2 linked regions of the Lepisosteus oculatus genome follow. The protein of the gene in region 2 purifies or fractionates together with the protein of the main gene of each other region. This does not show direct contact. Links are inferred from orthologs where the notes say so. Each region holds a gene or a part of one and is shown on either strand. Other genes may lie near its edges.

Region 1 (7,699 bases), on a different chromosome or scaffold from region 2:
ATGCACAGGTAAATGATCCTGTCCTGACAGACGTAATGAAAGAGATAGCTGCAAAGAAAGGGGAGAAGGGGAAGTGAAAACAGTGCACGCAGGCAGCCACTCAGGCTTCGTTAGGTAAGCATTGCTGAAGCGGAAACTGAAAGACAGCTGTCCACGCTCCTCAAGAGGCAGCTTGGAGAAGCTCTTGTTTCTGGCTGATCCACGCAGCGCCGTTCCAGCTTGGAATTAAAAACCAGGGTGAATATTAAATTCACTTTTTTGAGTATGCATTTGAGCCATCCGTTACTCTTGGTTTTGAATTATTCACAGAGCCCCGTGAGGATTGCGCTACGTGGAAAAAAATGGTCTTAAGGTGCCCGAGTGGGAAAAAGGCACTTGCAGGCTGAGCTCTGTGATCCAGACCGGGAGATGGAACCAGCTGGCTGTGACTGGACTCCCCAGCAGGTGGCACGCAGTTGCCTGAGCACCAAGTGGGGTGGGGGTGGGATGATTCGGGCCCAGGAGAAACAGCGACCCCTGCAGGCCTGTGGTGACGCCCAGGAAGGGCGCGCGCCTCTCCTCCAATCGAGGCGGTACCTGCTGTACGTTATGGCCGAGTCTACAGCGGGTGGGTAGGGCTGGAGAAACCTTCCAGCACTTTCTCACTGTCCTTGTATGGGGTCACCACAGTGGGCTGAGTCTTAGGAACAGCTAACCTAATCGTAAAAGGTAGTTAGTTAGGCATAACAACACAACTGGCAACTCCAAATTGGGCAGATATAGGATAAGAAGCAATTGACAATGAAAACAATGCTCCTAAGGTGTTAGGCTTAGGGAAGTGATCAAGCAAGAGTGCTTTTCCAATCCCAGCAGAGGGCTGTTGCACTCCCCAAAAGTCAAGTTTTGCAAGCTGGCAGCCAGACACTCGGAACAGAGCCCCCTGGTGGCCGGCACGGGAGGGACACTCACTTGCTGTGGGAGTAGGTCAGCTTGTTGTTCTCCGACGGGATCTTGGCCAGGATCTGCTCCGTCACCTCCAGGAAGTTCCCGCCACACCAGGCGTGCTTGGCCAGGATCGTGGTGCCGCGCGCCACCACCGCAAACAGGATCGCCATGGCAACAGGAGCAGGAGGAGGGGTGATGAGGACGGGGGGGGGCTTGCGGAGGAGAAACCACTGGGAAGCAGCCCGCAAGCGTGCGAGTGGGGTGGGAGCACGGAAAGCGAGGCTGGGGCACTTGACTGCATCAGAGACACAAGACAGAAGGAGAAAGGTGTGAGGGTAAGATAAGATAAGATCACTTTATTGGCATATACAATTAGGAATTTGGCCATTAGGCATTAGGAATGTGTCTTTTCGCATACCCCAACTTGCTCTCCATGAGACACACAGACAGGGAGAGAAGCTTGAGGTCAGAGCGCAGGGTCAGACATTTATACCACGCCCCTGGAGCAGTTGGGGGTTAGGGGCCTTGCTCAGGGTAGGAGTAGGATTCCTCTGCCGGCCACAGGATTTGAACCGGCAACCTTCCAGCCACAGGCGCAGATCCTTAGCCACAGTACCACTGCTCCGCCCTAGTAATGTAGCGCTTTCGGGCTCACGTGGGTATGCGCCCTGCCAGCTGGGGAATCAAACCCGGGCCTCCGGCGTCACAAAACAGGGAAGCAGCCAGTCGAGCTACAGTGAGATCTGCCCCTCCCCATGACCTGCCACTCCCACTACTGCGCTCTGTAGGTTAGAAGCCCTCAAATGTCACCCGAGGCTGACTACCAGCTTCGACAGTCATGAATCGGACTGGCCCCCGGTCCACGGTTCACAGTGCTCACCCAGCACCTGCTTGGGCTCGAGCGCACTAAGCCATTCTACCCCATTGGGTGTGTACTGGGGCACAGGAATGCTCATGTGACACAAGGCATGTGATACAGCTCTGAACACAGCACAGGTACCGACTAGCGGGCCAGTAAACCCTTCCAGCTTCACCTTGGAGGACGGAGGGCAGTGTCTGGCTGCGTGCCACTGTGCACACCGACCGCCCAGGTGCGTGCGGTCGCTGGTCAGGGGGGTATGATCCGACCTGATCCACTTGTATGGATACAAAATTCCATTTGTATGGCTACAGGATTTCCCATACAGCTGTTGAAACAGGCCGGCTACCTTTACAAGCGCATTTGACCGCCGGCTGAGATTAACACCCGTCTCCGGGCTTCAGAGCTGCCCAGTGTAACGCGAACGGAAGACACCGGCCCTGGAATCCCACACCTCAGCTCACTCCGGGCTGCAAACGCACGCTAACTGCCCACCTGCCCCGGGATCCACCGCTCAGCCGCGCGCGCACGCCGGCGACGCCGTGCTAATTTAAACAACACTTTTTCCAATGCACCCCCCCCAAAAAAAACCGTTTGATTTCAGAAATACATGTTCCTGCAAACTATACGTCATTCCGATCCGGAAAGGAGTATTTTAAGTTCCCAAATCGTTTCAGCCCCCCGTCTTGTAACCACAAGAGCCGATTTCACCATCAGCTCTTCACCATGTAGCTGGAACAGACCGTGTTAACAGTCTCACACTGACTGTTCAACAGTGTCGGTTACACTGCGGTACCACTTTAAGCCGCGTTATCTGCCAGAGCTCGGAACATGAATTACCTTAGAATAAGAGCATATTCTAAAGTCTATTTCAATAGCTCCTAAACGACCTCCGCTGTGTTTTAGACAGCCCGCGTGGACCCCCCAAAAGCTCTTCTAACATGATTTTGTCAGCTTTCTCTTTCAATTCTGGAGACCTCTATACACACAGACACCTCCGTTTCTCCGACATGTCATACGCCGTAGATTGCAACGATACAGCCGTCGTAACACACCGCCATTAATCGTGCCCCGTACTGTACCTCTGAATCGCCTTCCGTGAAAACTACCTTCGGAACGGCCCTCTTTAAAATAAAAAACAGCGTATATTTCCGTAATCCTTCCCGTCCGTACGTATGTTTTTAATTCCCAGTTCTGAGTCACCTGGTGCTCCTCTGACGGACCACTTTCGTCTGTCCCTTGGAATCATGGGGCTTGTAGTTTACAACCTCTGCTGCGGGAAAAAGACTTTACGGGCTCAAAATATAACATTTGACTCGAAGCTGCCTTTGGAAATTAACTTACTGCAAACAAAACAACACGTAAGGAGCGAGTGAAGCGGTTTTAAAGGCATCATTCGGAAGTTAGAAAAACTTTTAAGTTTGATGTATCCGTTTAAATCAGTTCACTCTAATCCCCGTTTGTATTCTCTGGGACGACAAGGTTCTTGTTTTAGAAGGTTTTTTTAACTATGTAACTGTAAGTCGATTTTAAAAAGTGGATTTTACAATCGATGTAACATTGTTTCACTGTGCCTTGGCAGTAAACATTTTAGAAACGAGACAATCTAAGAAGGCGTCCGTGTAGTGGAATTCCACTACATTACCCACATTTCCTTGCGCTGCCCTGTCTAATACGTCACATTGGTGCGCCAAAGGAGATCGGTAACAAGCATGGCCACCGGTGAGGATGAGAAGAGACCTGTGCTGGAAGTGGTGAGTACTGTTCTGAGTGACCGTTTAAATGAAAATGCGATAAACTCAATGCACAAGCCCATAGTCTATTTTAGGAGTGGGGTGTGATTTGCGTCTGGTATTTGAAATTAAAATACGGTCACGGCGAACTTGGCATCAACGTGTCTACTCTGGCAATTGTCAGTTGGGGAAATTCTGTGATTTCCTTGAGCGAACCGATTTCGGTGAAAAATCTTACTGAAAGGAGCAGTTGCAGCATCATGTGCAGGGATTTAGCGAGTTTTGTTTCTCCGAAATCTTATCTCATGTCCCATATTTACCGCGCGACTCTCAAAACCCCCCAGAAAACAGACCACTACCTGAGAAAGCAGGGTTTATGGCAGTCCTTGTCTAAGCTAACTGTTCCCGTAGCCTAAAACGGTATACTAGCTATATTTCATATGGCCAGTTGTTCTCTATAACCTACTTAAGCGTCTTGGGAAAAATATCTGAAGGATAAGACGAACAACAAAAATAATTTCGTTATCGGCTGGATAAAATGAAAATGAAGTACGGTTTCTGTCACACTAGGGAGACTTTGTATGTCTGGACAACTTTCCAGACGATGGAGAGTTGTACGCTGCAGAATTATTTCTGTGTGAAATTGTGAAGTTTCTAGAGTGTTTTCATTTTTCTCGGCGATACCACCTTTTACCAGCTAGGGGGCACCCGGAGGTAGTGCTGCCGCTGACCAGCAGATCCTTATAATTGTGATTTCTTCCTGCGATCTGCGGGGATTATCACGTCCACCCAGCTCAAACACCCAGATTTCCCAGTTTCACACAAAAAAGGCTGAATTCCATCTCCCGTTGAAAAAGAGCTGAAGGTATTAAACATGTTTTGTTAGCTGTTTTTGCTTTTAAGTACATAGTGTTCTTTTTTTCCACGTTTCCTAAAAATGACTTGGAATGTTGTCTTGAAAAGTGGGAGCAGGGAATAGAGTTTCTGTAGCTGTCTGGGCAGACAGAGGCCTTCCTGTGAAAAAGACATGCTCCACCACAGGGGATCACAGAGGCCTCACGTGCAGCTCCAGTCAGGCAGGCTAGAGCTGCAGCCAAACCTGAATTCTGCCCTTTCTCTTAGGCCCAGAGGTGCCTCTCTTTCCCTCCTCAAAACCTCATCCTTAATCGCCGCAGTACTCGCTATGAAAGCTTGCTCGCTGCGCTTGTCAGCTTACTACTGGGCTTTCCGTTCCAGCTCCTCGTGAGCCGAAGGAGTCTTCTGGGTATCTCCACAGCCGGGCTCCCCCTTCATCGTGCCCTTCATCGATCGTCCGGCTTGGGAAATTGTGAAGCCTGGTTTTTCGGCTCCTAGCCTTTCATTTCTCTCACTGCTTCAGAGCAGAAATCAAAAAGATTGAATGAATCCGGGTATGAGCCCCGAACAAGGGGTTGATTGGCTGACCAAGGGTTGAGTAAGAGTCATGCCATCAGACAGCGGGGCCACAAGGACAGTGATCGAGACATCCCACCATCAGGGTTTCACACTGCTGCTCGGCACTCTGATTATTAAATGCAGATCCTGGTGCTTTGGGCAAGAGTGTGGCCTTGTTGTCCTGAAAAAGGAGCAGCAGAAGGATCCAAACTGCAAAAATGCCAGGATACAGCAGGATGGGCACTTTATCGTGTATCCCTAAAGTGCGTTAGCCACATTTTGCCCATCTTAAGCAAGGTGACGCCATTTCATTTACACAGACGTGGTCGGCGAACAGACTTCCGCTCAGGATGCGCACACCAGCGCGAGTCGCCTCACCCAGCCTGTTTGCAGGTCGTTTTGGCCGCCTGGTGATTTCCGAGAGGTCCTGATTGCCGCGGTGCCCTTTGTCTTCCGCAGGTGCAGGCGGAGGGCGGGGATGACTCCTGTGTGACGTTTGTGCTGCACGACGAGGACCACACTCTGGGCAATGCCCTGCGCTACATGGTCATGAAAAAGTGAGTTTCCCCTCTCTGTCTGGAGGTCCCGAGTCCTGGTGCACAAGCGCTCTGACAATCGCTTTCAGATATACTGGCCGCTGGCTTTTGTACCGATGGTTTCTTTGGTTTCATATACTGTAATATGTTAACTTGATACATGGCTGAGCTCAAAACAGCTTTTCGGACTTCCGGTATCAAGCACAGCCTTAACGTGTGGGAGACTGCAGCTCTTAAACCCCGGAATGTTTTAAATGGCTGTGCAGTGGAGTATTTCTTCAATTGCATCGACCTCTACGTTTGTCGTGTGTCGCTGTGTTGAAAATAGTCAATGACGTGTTAAAGAGCCGCCGGGTTCATGTGCGTTTTGTGTTGCACAGCCCCGAAGTCGAGTTCTGTGGGTACAGCATCACTCACCCCTCAGAGAGTAAGATTAACTTCCGGATCCAGACACGAGGTGAGTGCCTGTGTGCGTGTGTGCGTGCGTGTGTGATCTCAGACTCCTGACGGGTGACACGGGGACAATCTGAAATTGTAAACAAAAAAACAATTTTCAGATCTGCACGTCGCAAAAAATATCTAGTTTTTGCTTGTGCTCTTAATCCCCTTGCTGTTTCATTTCACCGAAGGCTGGCATGTTAAATCGAAATGGGGGTCCACGAAAATGGACGAAGGCAAATGTGTGTCTCTGGGGGGCTCCCAAACACCACAGCTCCCCCTCATTCGTGGGACGCTCTGTGGCGTGTTTGTTGCAGAGACTTTCCCCACCTGCCAGGAAAGCCCACGAAGACACCGGTTCCTCTGAGCAGCGTGAATCAAGCTTTGTTCTTGGTTATGTGGTAGTCGGCTTTCTTTGTGTGGAGCCCTGTGTTAATATTGGCATCACAAGTGTTTTTGTGTGGATCCAGCCCTTCTCTCTCTCCTTCTGCAGCAGACGGTTATTATCCGCAGAGAGAGATAATGGGGTCTGTTTCCATAGTTGGGAAATGGCTATTTTGGCTTTTTCTTTTTGATGTCCCTGGTGCTCTTCTTGGAGAGGTTGCACAGCAGAGCTGCATGAGCGTGTTTTGGCTGCTCTGCGTACGTGAGCTCCACAGTGACAGCCTGACCGGCCAGAAAAAGGCCTTTCACTGTGTCGCAGTGCCGTGGTCCCTTCAGTCTTTTTTGTTTTGGTGAATAGTTCTGCTCATTTTTATGGAGTGGGGGCAGAATTCAGTTTTTAAAATTAGATTATGAAACGATCCCTGGTGACAGTGTGTAGCCTCGGAGCAGAGCCCTTTTTTCTGGCAGGAAGCCCAGGACCACAGAAACAAAACCGCCTTTTGCTCCTAATTGTATTAGCTGCTTTAGAGGAGCACATTGGAGCAGGAAGAGGGATAATGGGTTTTTAACTGGGGTCCATAGAGGGGCCTCCGTTTTCAATCTGTTACACGCTGGGTTGCAGGAGCCGACCAGCTGTTGTTCCCAGAGTCTGGGAGCAGCGCATTTGTCACAGTTTGTACACCCTTAAGCACCTTCCCCCAGCCCAGCTCCAGAACGATGACCGTCCAAGTAGAAGAGGTCATCTAAAAATACAAAGAACAAGTGTAGAGCATCATGTACCTGCAGAAAGACACAGAGTATAGCTGATCACCTGGTGATCCTGGTCTGCTTTTATTTGTGCAGTGAGTTTTCCCCCCAGCTCTGAGGCTAATTTATGCACAGAAAAACAACATAGTCTTGACTATGTGGCTTTTTTTAAAAGAACAGTCCCAACCCCCGGGTCTGCTGCTCTGGCAGTACATAAAAAAAGCAGGGCAATTATCTGTTAAATGTGCAAAACCCCAGAGCCGACATGGCTGATTGAAGTCTGGTGCTTGTTGTTCAGACAGCTGTGTGAGGAATCTGGCTCCTGCTCTTTCTCTCTCTCTCTCCAGCTCTCTTCTGTCTCGGGAGCTGGTGCTGCCCGTACGGTCCTTCACGGAGACAGGTTTGCAGTTGCAATTGACAAAAGCATTTTATGAGGAACACATGGATATATAGGCTGCAGAGCAAAATGGTACCTGGAGAAAGACCGTTTCAGGGATCTGCGATCTTTGTTCATGACGGGTTGTAATTTTCTTTTGGGTTCTGCTGCCATGCAGAGAGCTTTGCTTCTGCTCTGGAGAGCTCCCTCTCCACCCCCGCACGCATGCACACGCACGCCCTGGGAGTGAGCAGAAAGGTAACGCGCTGGGGGTGGTTGTGAAAGGCAA
Region 2 (6,939 bases):
TGACTGGGCAGTCTGTCTGCTCTGGCCACTGTCCATCCAGTCCAAGAATCTCATCCAGCGGCTACTGAAGGATACCAGGATATCTGCTTCTGCAGCTCGATCCACACTCCCACCACCCTTAGTGTAAAGAAGTGCCTCCAGTTCCCGGTTCTAACTGCAAATCCATGCGGTTTCCACTTGTGTCCTGTGGTTAGTGCTCCAGTGTTGACCGTGAAGGAGTACGCAGGCTTGACTTCTTTTCGAGTAACATCAGCGGGAGGGGATGCAATTCAACAGAGGCCCCCCTTTCAGTCGTGCGGCATGTGAGGGCTGAGCCTGTGAAAGCCCTCAGTGGACCGGAGACTGCAGGGAGAGGAGTCTGGGCTCGGCACACCTCTCCAGCACAACCCCACACCGTGACGCCCTTTACATCCCAAACTCTAATTGACACCCAGGGGCAAATGTGGCATTCCTAATGCTTCAGTAGTAAACCTAATAATGAACTAATTCCCATCATGTCTCTATGTGCAACCATTAGAGGCCTTATCAGCTGTCTAGGGCGGGTCAGCTGTCACTGCAGGCCTAAGTACAGCACTCCGGTCCGAAGAAGAGCCAGCCAGCCAGTGTGACCCCCGTACTGAGCCACGTAGCTCCCTGAGTAGCAGGACTGGGCTGCCAAGTGCTGTATTAACCCTAGAGAGCAATGCTCAGATCAGGGACTGAACCACGGCTTCAAAACGGCTGTATGAACCCCCACATCCCCCTCTCTCTTTCAGTACTATGACATCTCTGCAAAGAGTAACTACAATTTCGAGAAGCCCTTCCTCTGGCTGGCCCGGAAGCTGATCGGTGACCCCAATCTGGAGTTTGTTGCCATGCCAGCTCTGGCCCCCCCTGAGGTCTCGATGGACCCCTCTCTGGCGGCGCAGTACGAGCACGACCTCAAGGTACAGGCTGGACCAGCAACTCTACTGTGTCTCTCCTCCAGTCTCTGCTCACTCTGCTGTGGGCACTGTGGGGCTCACAGTGTTGTCAGTGAGAGCTGTGTCTCTCCTCCAGTCTCTGCTCACTCTGCTGTGGGCACTGTGGGGCTCACAGTGTTGTCAGCGAGAGCTGTGTCTCTCCTCCAGTCACTGCTCACTCTGCTGTGGGCACTGTGGGGCTCACAGTGTTGTCAGCAAGAGCTGTGTCTCTCCTCCAGTCACTGCTCACTCTGCTGTGGACACTGTGGGGCTCACAGTGTTGTCAGTGAGAGCTGTGTCACTCCTCCAGTCTCTGCTCACTCTGCTGTGGGCACTGTGGGGCTCACAGTGTTGTCAGCGAGAGCTGTGTCTCTCCTCCAGTCACTGCTCACTCTGCTGTGGACACTGTGGGACTCACAGTGTTGTCAGTGAGAGCTGCGTCACTCCTCCAGTGACACTGCTCGCTGCTCACTCTGCTGTGGGCACTGTGGGGCTCACAGTGTTGTCAGTGAGAGCTGTGTCTCTCCTCCAGTCTCTGCTCACTCTGCTGTGGACACTGTGGGACTCAGCTCTCAGGTTAGTGTCAGATGTCACCCACTGTGTTCCCCCTGATAGCTGGGCTTCTTTTCAGTTGGTGTGTGATGCCAGACTGCGAGCTCAGCACTGCTATGTGGACCAATACAGCCTTTCCAGAGCTAGTGATGGCCAGGAGTCCAGGCAGCCATGTTGGGCAGGTGTTTGCCGACATGCACACTGTGGTCAGATTTAAGTCACCCCCTACTTCTCCCACTTAGGGACTTAATTCCCAAAACAAGGCTCAGTCTGTCGGTGATGGTTCCAGCTGTGGAACGAGTTTGATCTATAGGTGCCCGTGTTTGAGAAAAGAGATTTTTAGTCAGTCTTTCCTAAGGACAGAACCTTATTTCCCGAGTCATTATGAGCCTAGTCATGTTGTCCTTTTGCTGTCGCGGGCCACAGGCCGTTCGGTTGGGGAAAGGCGGTACGAACCCCGGAATGAACCCTCTGGTACGCCAGAGCCCTGGGTATGGGAATTGGAAATCCAGCTCCCGTTGCTCAGCAGTTTGATCCGTTCCGAGTTTTAATGCTGACACCTGCTGGCTTTTGTACACACTGCATTGGTGAAATAGGCCAATGGAATAATATTTCCTGTTAAAGCAGAATAGCTCATATTAATGCGAGATACCCATCAGTGCTTAACTTGACGTGCAGTACAACATGATGCAGTTATGCGCTGGGTCCACTAGGTGTCAGCACTTGTTCACTGTGAGCTGCAGTTTTCCCACTGTGCATGCAGAGCGCTGGGGCACTCTTTCTCACTGGGCTGTGACACGTGTTTATTGTATCCTCTTAGGTGGCATCGGAAACAGCACTACCAGATGAGGAGGATGACCTCTAACCTGTGACCTTTGACCTCTCCAGAGGAAGCAGGAGATGTCTGGGAGTCACAGTGCTCTGGCTGCACTATTACCTTTACTGTAAAACCCAGTCTCAGATTATTTTGATTTTTTTTTTTACTTTTTTCATCTTGAAGAATGCAAGTTTGTTGAGAGAGTGCAGACAAGCAGTATGGTACAGGACAAACAGTGCTGTACAGACAATACAGTAAAGACAAATACTTCACAGGCTGTCGTGCTGGCAGCAGATTGCACACGGAGGAAGAGTGTGGATGCTGGGAGATACCGAAAAATGTTTAAAATATGGATGCACTTATTTGAAAAAAGTTTGAATAAAAACTGTCTAAATTTATGTTCTTGAATGTTTCCTGGTTTCTTCTGTCTAGTTAGATGAGTGTGGGTGAGTTAGATATCTAAAAATGTGACTTCCTGTTGGTGTTGGAGGTTCCCCCTCCCAAGACTAGTGGTCCTGGAGGATCAGTAAGTGGTTCTGTATCCTCTGGACCGTGATGCCCAGGCCAGTGTCCTAGTATGGTGACCAGAGATACTGTGTTGTGGGCTGCTGTTCTTCACTTTAATGTTAGATTGACTGGTCATTACAGACCCAGGACACTGTCAGTAAGAGTAGGGGTGATAACTGTTCTTGAACTGAGTGTCTTGGTCAGTGTGTGTATCTTTATAGACTTGAGAAACTGTTGTAACGTGATCTGTGAAGGAAGTGGTGAAGTCAAGAGCAACATTTTGATCTCTGAGTGAGATAGAGGCTGTTGTGAAAACTAAAAACTTCACCTACTAAAAACCTACCAAGCTGTCTCCAACCTGAACATTTTACAACAGTTTTCTGACTACTATTCTGATTCCACGCAATGATTGGTCTCCATATCTCTACAGATCACAGTATTAATATGTACCATATAGTCCAAAATAACCCTCTAACTATCCTCCAGACACACTGGACACTACAGTATGTTAATACGGTACAGACACTGGACACTTCAGTACATTTACACTGCACTGAGAGAGAGGGGTTAATACAGTACAGACACACTGACTGGACACTACAGGACATTAACACTGCACTGAGAGAGAGGGGTTAATACAGTACAGACACACTGACTGGACACTCCAGTACATTAACACTGCACTGAGAGAGGGGTTAATACAGCACAGACACACTGACTGGACACTACAGGACATTAACACTGCACTGAGAGAGAGGGGTTAATACAGTCCAGACACACTGACTGGACACTACAGGACATTAACACTGCACTGAGAGAGAGGGGTTAATACAGTCCAGACACACTGACTGGACACTACAGGACATTAACACTGCACTGAGAGAGAGGGGTTAATACAGTCCAGACACACTGACTGGACACTACAGGACATTAACACTGCACTGAGAGAGAGGGGTTAATACAGTCCAGACACACTGGACACTCCAGTACATTAACACTGCACTGAGAGAGAGGGGTTAATACAGTCCATTAACACTGGACTGAGCGTCGCGGTCCCTTTAAGATGCAGGCAGGTCGGCTCCCTCCAGGTATTAAACGGGTCCGGGTGTGGTGGCGTAAACAGGAATTAAAAGGTTCAGCTCCACGGACTGGGCATGTGCGGACGGCACAGCGCTTCTCTACAAGACCGCAGAGAGAGAGGGAGGAGGGGGAGATTAAGCGCAGGGAGCCTAACTGCTGGTTTAATCCCCTCTGAGCCGATAGACTCAGAGGACCGGGGCCACCGACAGCGGAGAACCTCCATATTGCAGAGCCGTAACGTTTAAACCCAGTGAAACGTCACGACTCGCAAAAATAAATCAGGAGAAAAGTTCGAACGATCTTCCTGGGAAGAAGAAAGTTCTGAAAACTCCTGTCCTGTCTGGACTTAGTGCTTAAAATATTATAAATAACGGTTTTACTGTTTTTGGTCAGTCGGTAAGGAGAATTTTTCAACTTTAAAGATGAAAGACCGCCTGGACCAGCTCAAAGCGGTGAGTATAATTCCCTGTTTTTCAGTCTTTTCAAATTCACTGAGCTTTGTGTGCTGTATAATGAATCACACTGTTCCTACGGCAGTAACAACAGTTCTTATGTAATATTGATGTTCGACTGCATTGGAGTGACAGTGGATTTAATTTTAGATGATTAAACTGAGGGTTTCAAATATATGGATTGTCTCTTGAGAAATGTTAAACATCCAGCTTTTGTGTGTTTTATTGTTTATTTAAACAATCCAGATCCAGAGCCTGTCGGCGTATCCTCATCGGTATAACCGGTTTCACGTTAATCGATACTGGGTATCGGTCTCCTCAGAAACAAACAAGCGAGAGAGGGGATAACGCAGCGGGCCGTCCTTTGGGGTGCAGAAAAGCGTTTTTATTTATTAATCTTTTTTTATATATACATCGGCGCAGTGCAGACGATTATCACGGCTGTCGTGTCGTGTTCCGGGGTTTGGGACGGAGACGCTCAGTTGCTCAGCCTGTTTCTGGCGTGCCGGTGTGTTGAATTCCGAGTCTGCCGAGCCCCGGTGACACCTGTACGTCTGCGCCTGTCAGCTGGCCGGGAGACGGGGGAGGAGGAGGGGCGAAGGACCGATTAAGGAAGGACACAAGGCGGTCTGCAGTCGCTGGTGCTCAAGGACACTCTGATAGCTGCTGGTCTCTCGGCGCTCCCGCTCACACCCGGCCGGGCAACAGGCTGCGCGGCTCCCCGCACCCCGAGTCTCGGCCCCCCGCCCCCACTCCCTGTCTCCGGGCCGCCCCCGGCGCCGTTGCCCCATCTCGCTGCTTCTCCGCCGCTCTCTCGCCTCTCCCAGCCCCGCAGGTGCGCCTGTATGTAAAGCAACGCGCCGCCGCTTCCATACTGAACCCGCTGAGGGGTGTCGCGCTGGAACCGGCCGGTCTGCCTGGTGGGAGGAGTGTACTGGCTCACACACACACACGTAGTATCTGGCCCCCACGACGGGCGGAGAGGCAGACAGGAACGCGCCGGGGTCTGAGTGCTCTTCTGTTACAGCCCCCCTACTGCAACGGGATTATCCTGCTGTACTTGCGAAAGTCCACTTTGCAGCTGATCTTTGTCCATCTGGTCCGTTTGGTAGCCAGCAGTTTATTGATCGCAGGATTGTGTCCAGCTGTGTCTTGGAAAAAAGTCGGGGTATCGCCTTCAACAACAGGCCTGGGCAGCTTGTTCCACACTCCCACCACCCTTTGTGTACAGAAGAGCCTCCGGTTCTTAGTCCTAGATGCTCTTCCACATACTGCTGTTTCTGCCGGAGTCCTCAGGCTGGTGCTTCACTGTTCATTCCAAAGGGGTCTTCTGGGTTCAGTTTGTCAGAGTCGTGGAGGATTTTGAAGACTAAAGATATCCAGTTCCTTCAGCCTGCCAGTGTAGGACTTTCCTTCCACCCACAGCATGTCTCTGGTTGTCCTTCTCTAGTCTGGTTCCGGAGCCGCGGTGTCTTCTCATTAACAGAACCAGAATAGAACAATATTCTAAATGTGGTCGTACGTCCTAACAAGTTACACAGTTTGAACACAACACCCCTTGACTACGGATGTGGAGAACTTCACAATACTTAGTCTTTAGCTGTGTATCATAACTCTTCGTTTGTCTTTTTAACTGCTTCCTCACACTATTCAGAAGAATATTCACACCACAGCCTGTTTCACAAGTAGCCACTTCTAGCTGAGTGGTTCCCATTTTGTGTTTGTATTTTGTTGTTATAGATGCATGTAACTCTTTATCTGTAAATCCTACTTCCTTTGTAGCTACTACAGGGTTTGCAAGCCCTCTGATACATCTGATATACTATCTGTAAACATAAATAGTTGACTAAATATGCAGTTGTGTGCAAAACTCTGTTCACCCCCTGGTGAAGTCGTATGTTTTAGTGAATCCCTAAGTGAAAAGAAATTGACACGACCTCTGCGTGGTGCACACTTGAACATGATATATTTCTGCACAATTAGTATCTATTTACAGTTTTGTAGATTTTCCTAATAAAATAATATGGCGAATATGGCACGTGCACACATTTGGGCACCCTGTCTGTCCTTTGTAACATCCTGATTGGCCGAAATCACAGCTTTCAAACGTTTCCCGCTGCCAGAGAACAGTTTTTCTGTTCGAGCTTGTGGGGTTTCTCCCCTCTCTTCCTTGCCGAACGCTCCCAGGTCAGAAATACAGTAGTGTACAGTGGTATTTCTGAGCTGGGAGAGTGTTCCTGAACCCACTGCATGACTGAGATCCCCGCACAGATTTTAAAAACGATTCCAGTGTGGGGACTATGAAGGTCATTCCGAAAGCTTAATCTTTCGTTCCCGTAAGAACTCCGCGGCTGATTTTGAGGTATGTTGCAGACCAGTGTCCTGCTGAAATATCCTCTTCTCAACCTCACTTTCCTCGCTGCCTCTGGGACATGAGCTTCTAGGATCTGTTGGCACTGAGCTGGGTCCATTCTTCTTCCACTTGTTCGCTACTTCCTCTGCCCAGCTTAACGGCGGGCAAGGGGCTCTTTTCTCCAAAATCTTCACCTGTTTTTCTCCAAACGTTTCTTCTGCGCGTTGCGGCCAAAAA

What was found. The genes of interacting proteins can lie anywhere in the genome.
Region 1: the proteins of stx3b (region 2) and sybl1 purify together in Homo sapiens (co-immunoprecipitation; 3 studies listed by BioGRID and IntAct, with this or other methods). This does not show direct contact. The link is inferred for Lepisosteus oculatus from reciprocal best matches to the Homo sapiens genes STX3 and VAMP7.

Annotation. Positions count from the first base shown.
Region 1 is NC_090703.1:47,620,248-47,627,946, forward strand, and holds the start of sybl1 (vesicle-associated membrane protein 7), read right to left. Parts: upstream 3,019-7,699; 5' UTR 2,866-3,018; intron 1,220-2,865; 5' UTR 1,095-1,219; coding exon 949-1,094; intron 49-948; coding exon 1-48. Other genes in the region: polr1d (DNA-directed RNA polymerases I and III subunit RPAC2), read left to right, coding at 3,496-3,537, 5,389-5,486, 5,846-5,922. UniProt on the Homo sapiens protein: Involved in the targeting and/or fusion of transport vesicles to their target membrane during transport of proteins from the early endosome to the lysosome. Required for heterotypic fusion of late endosomes with lysosomes and homotypic lysosomal fusion.
Region 2 is NC_090701.1:42,419,672-42,426,610, reverse strand, and holds the start of stx3b (syntaxin 3b), read left to right. Parts: upstream 1-3,937; 5' UTR 3,938-4,319; coding exon 4,320-4,349; intron 4,350-6,939. Other genes in the region: GTP-binding nuclear protein Ran, read left to right, coding at 756-926, 2,314-2,358. UniProt on the Homo sapiens protein: Potentially involved in docking of synaptic vesicles at presynaptic active zones. Apical receptor involved in membrane fusion of apical vesicles.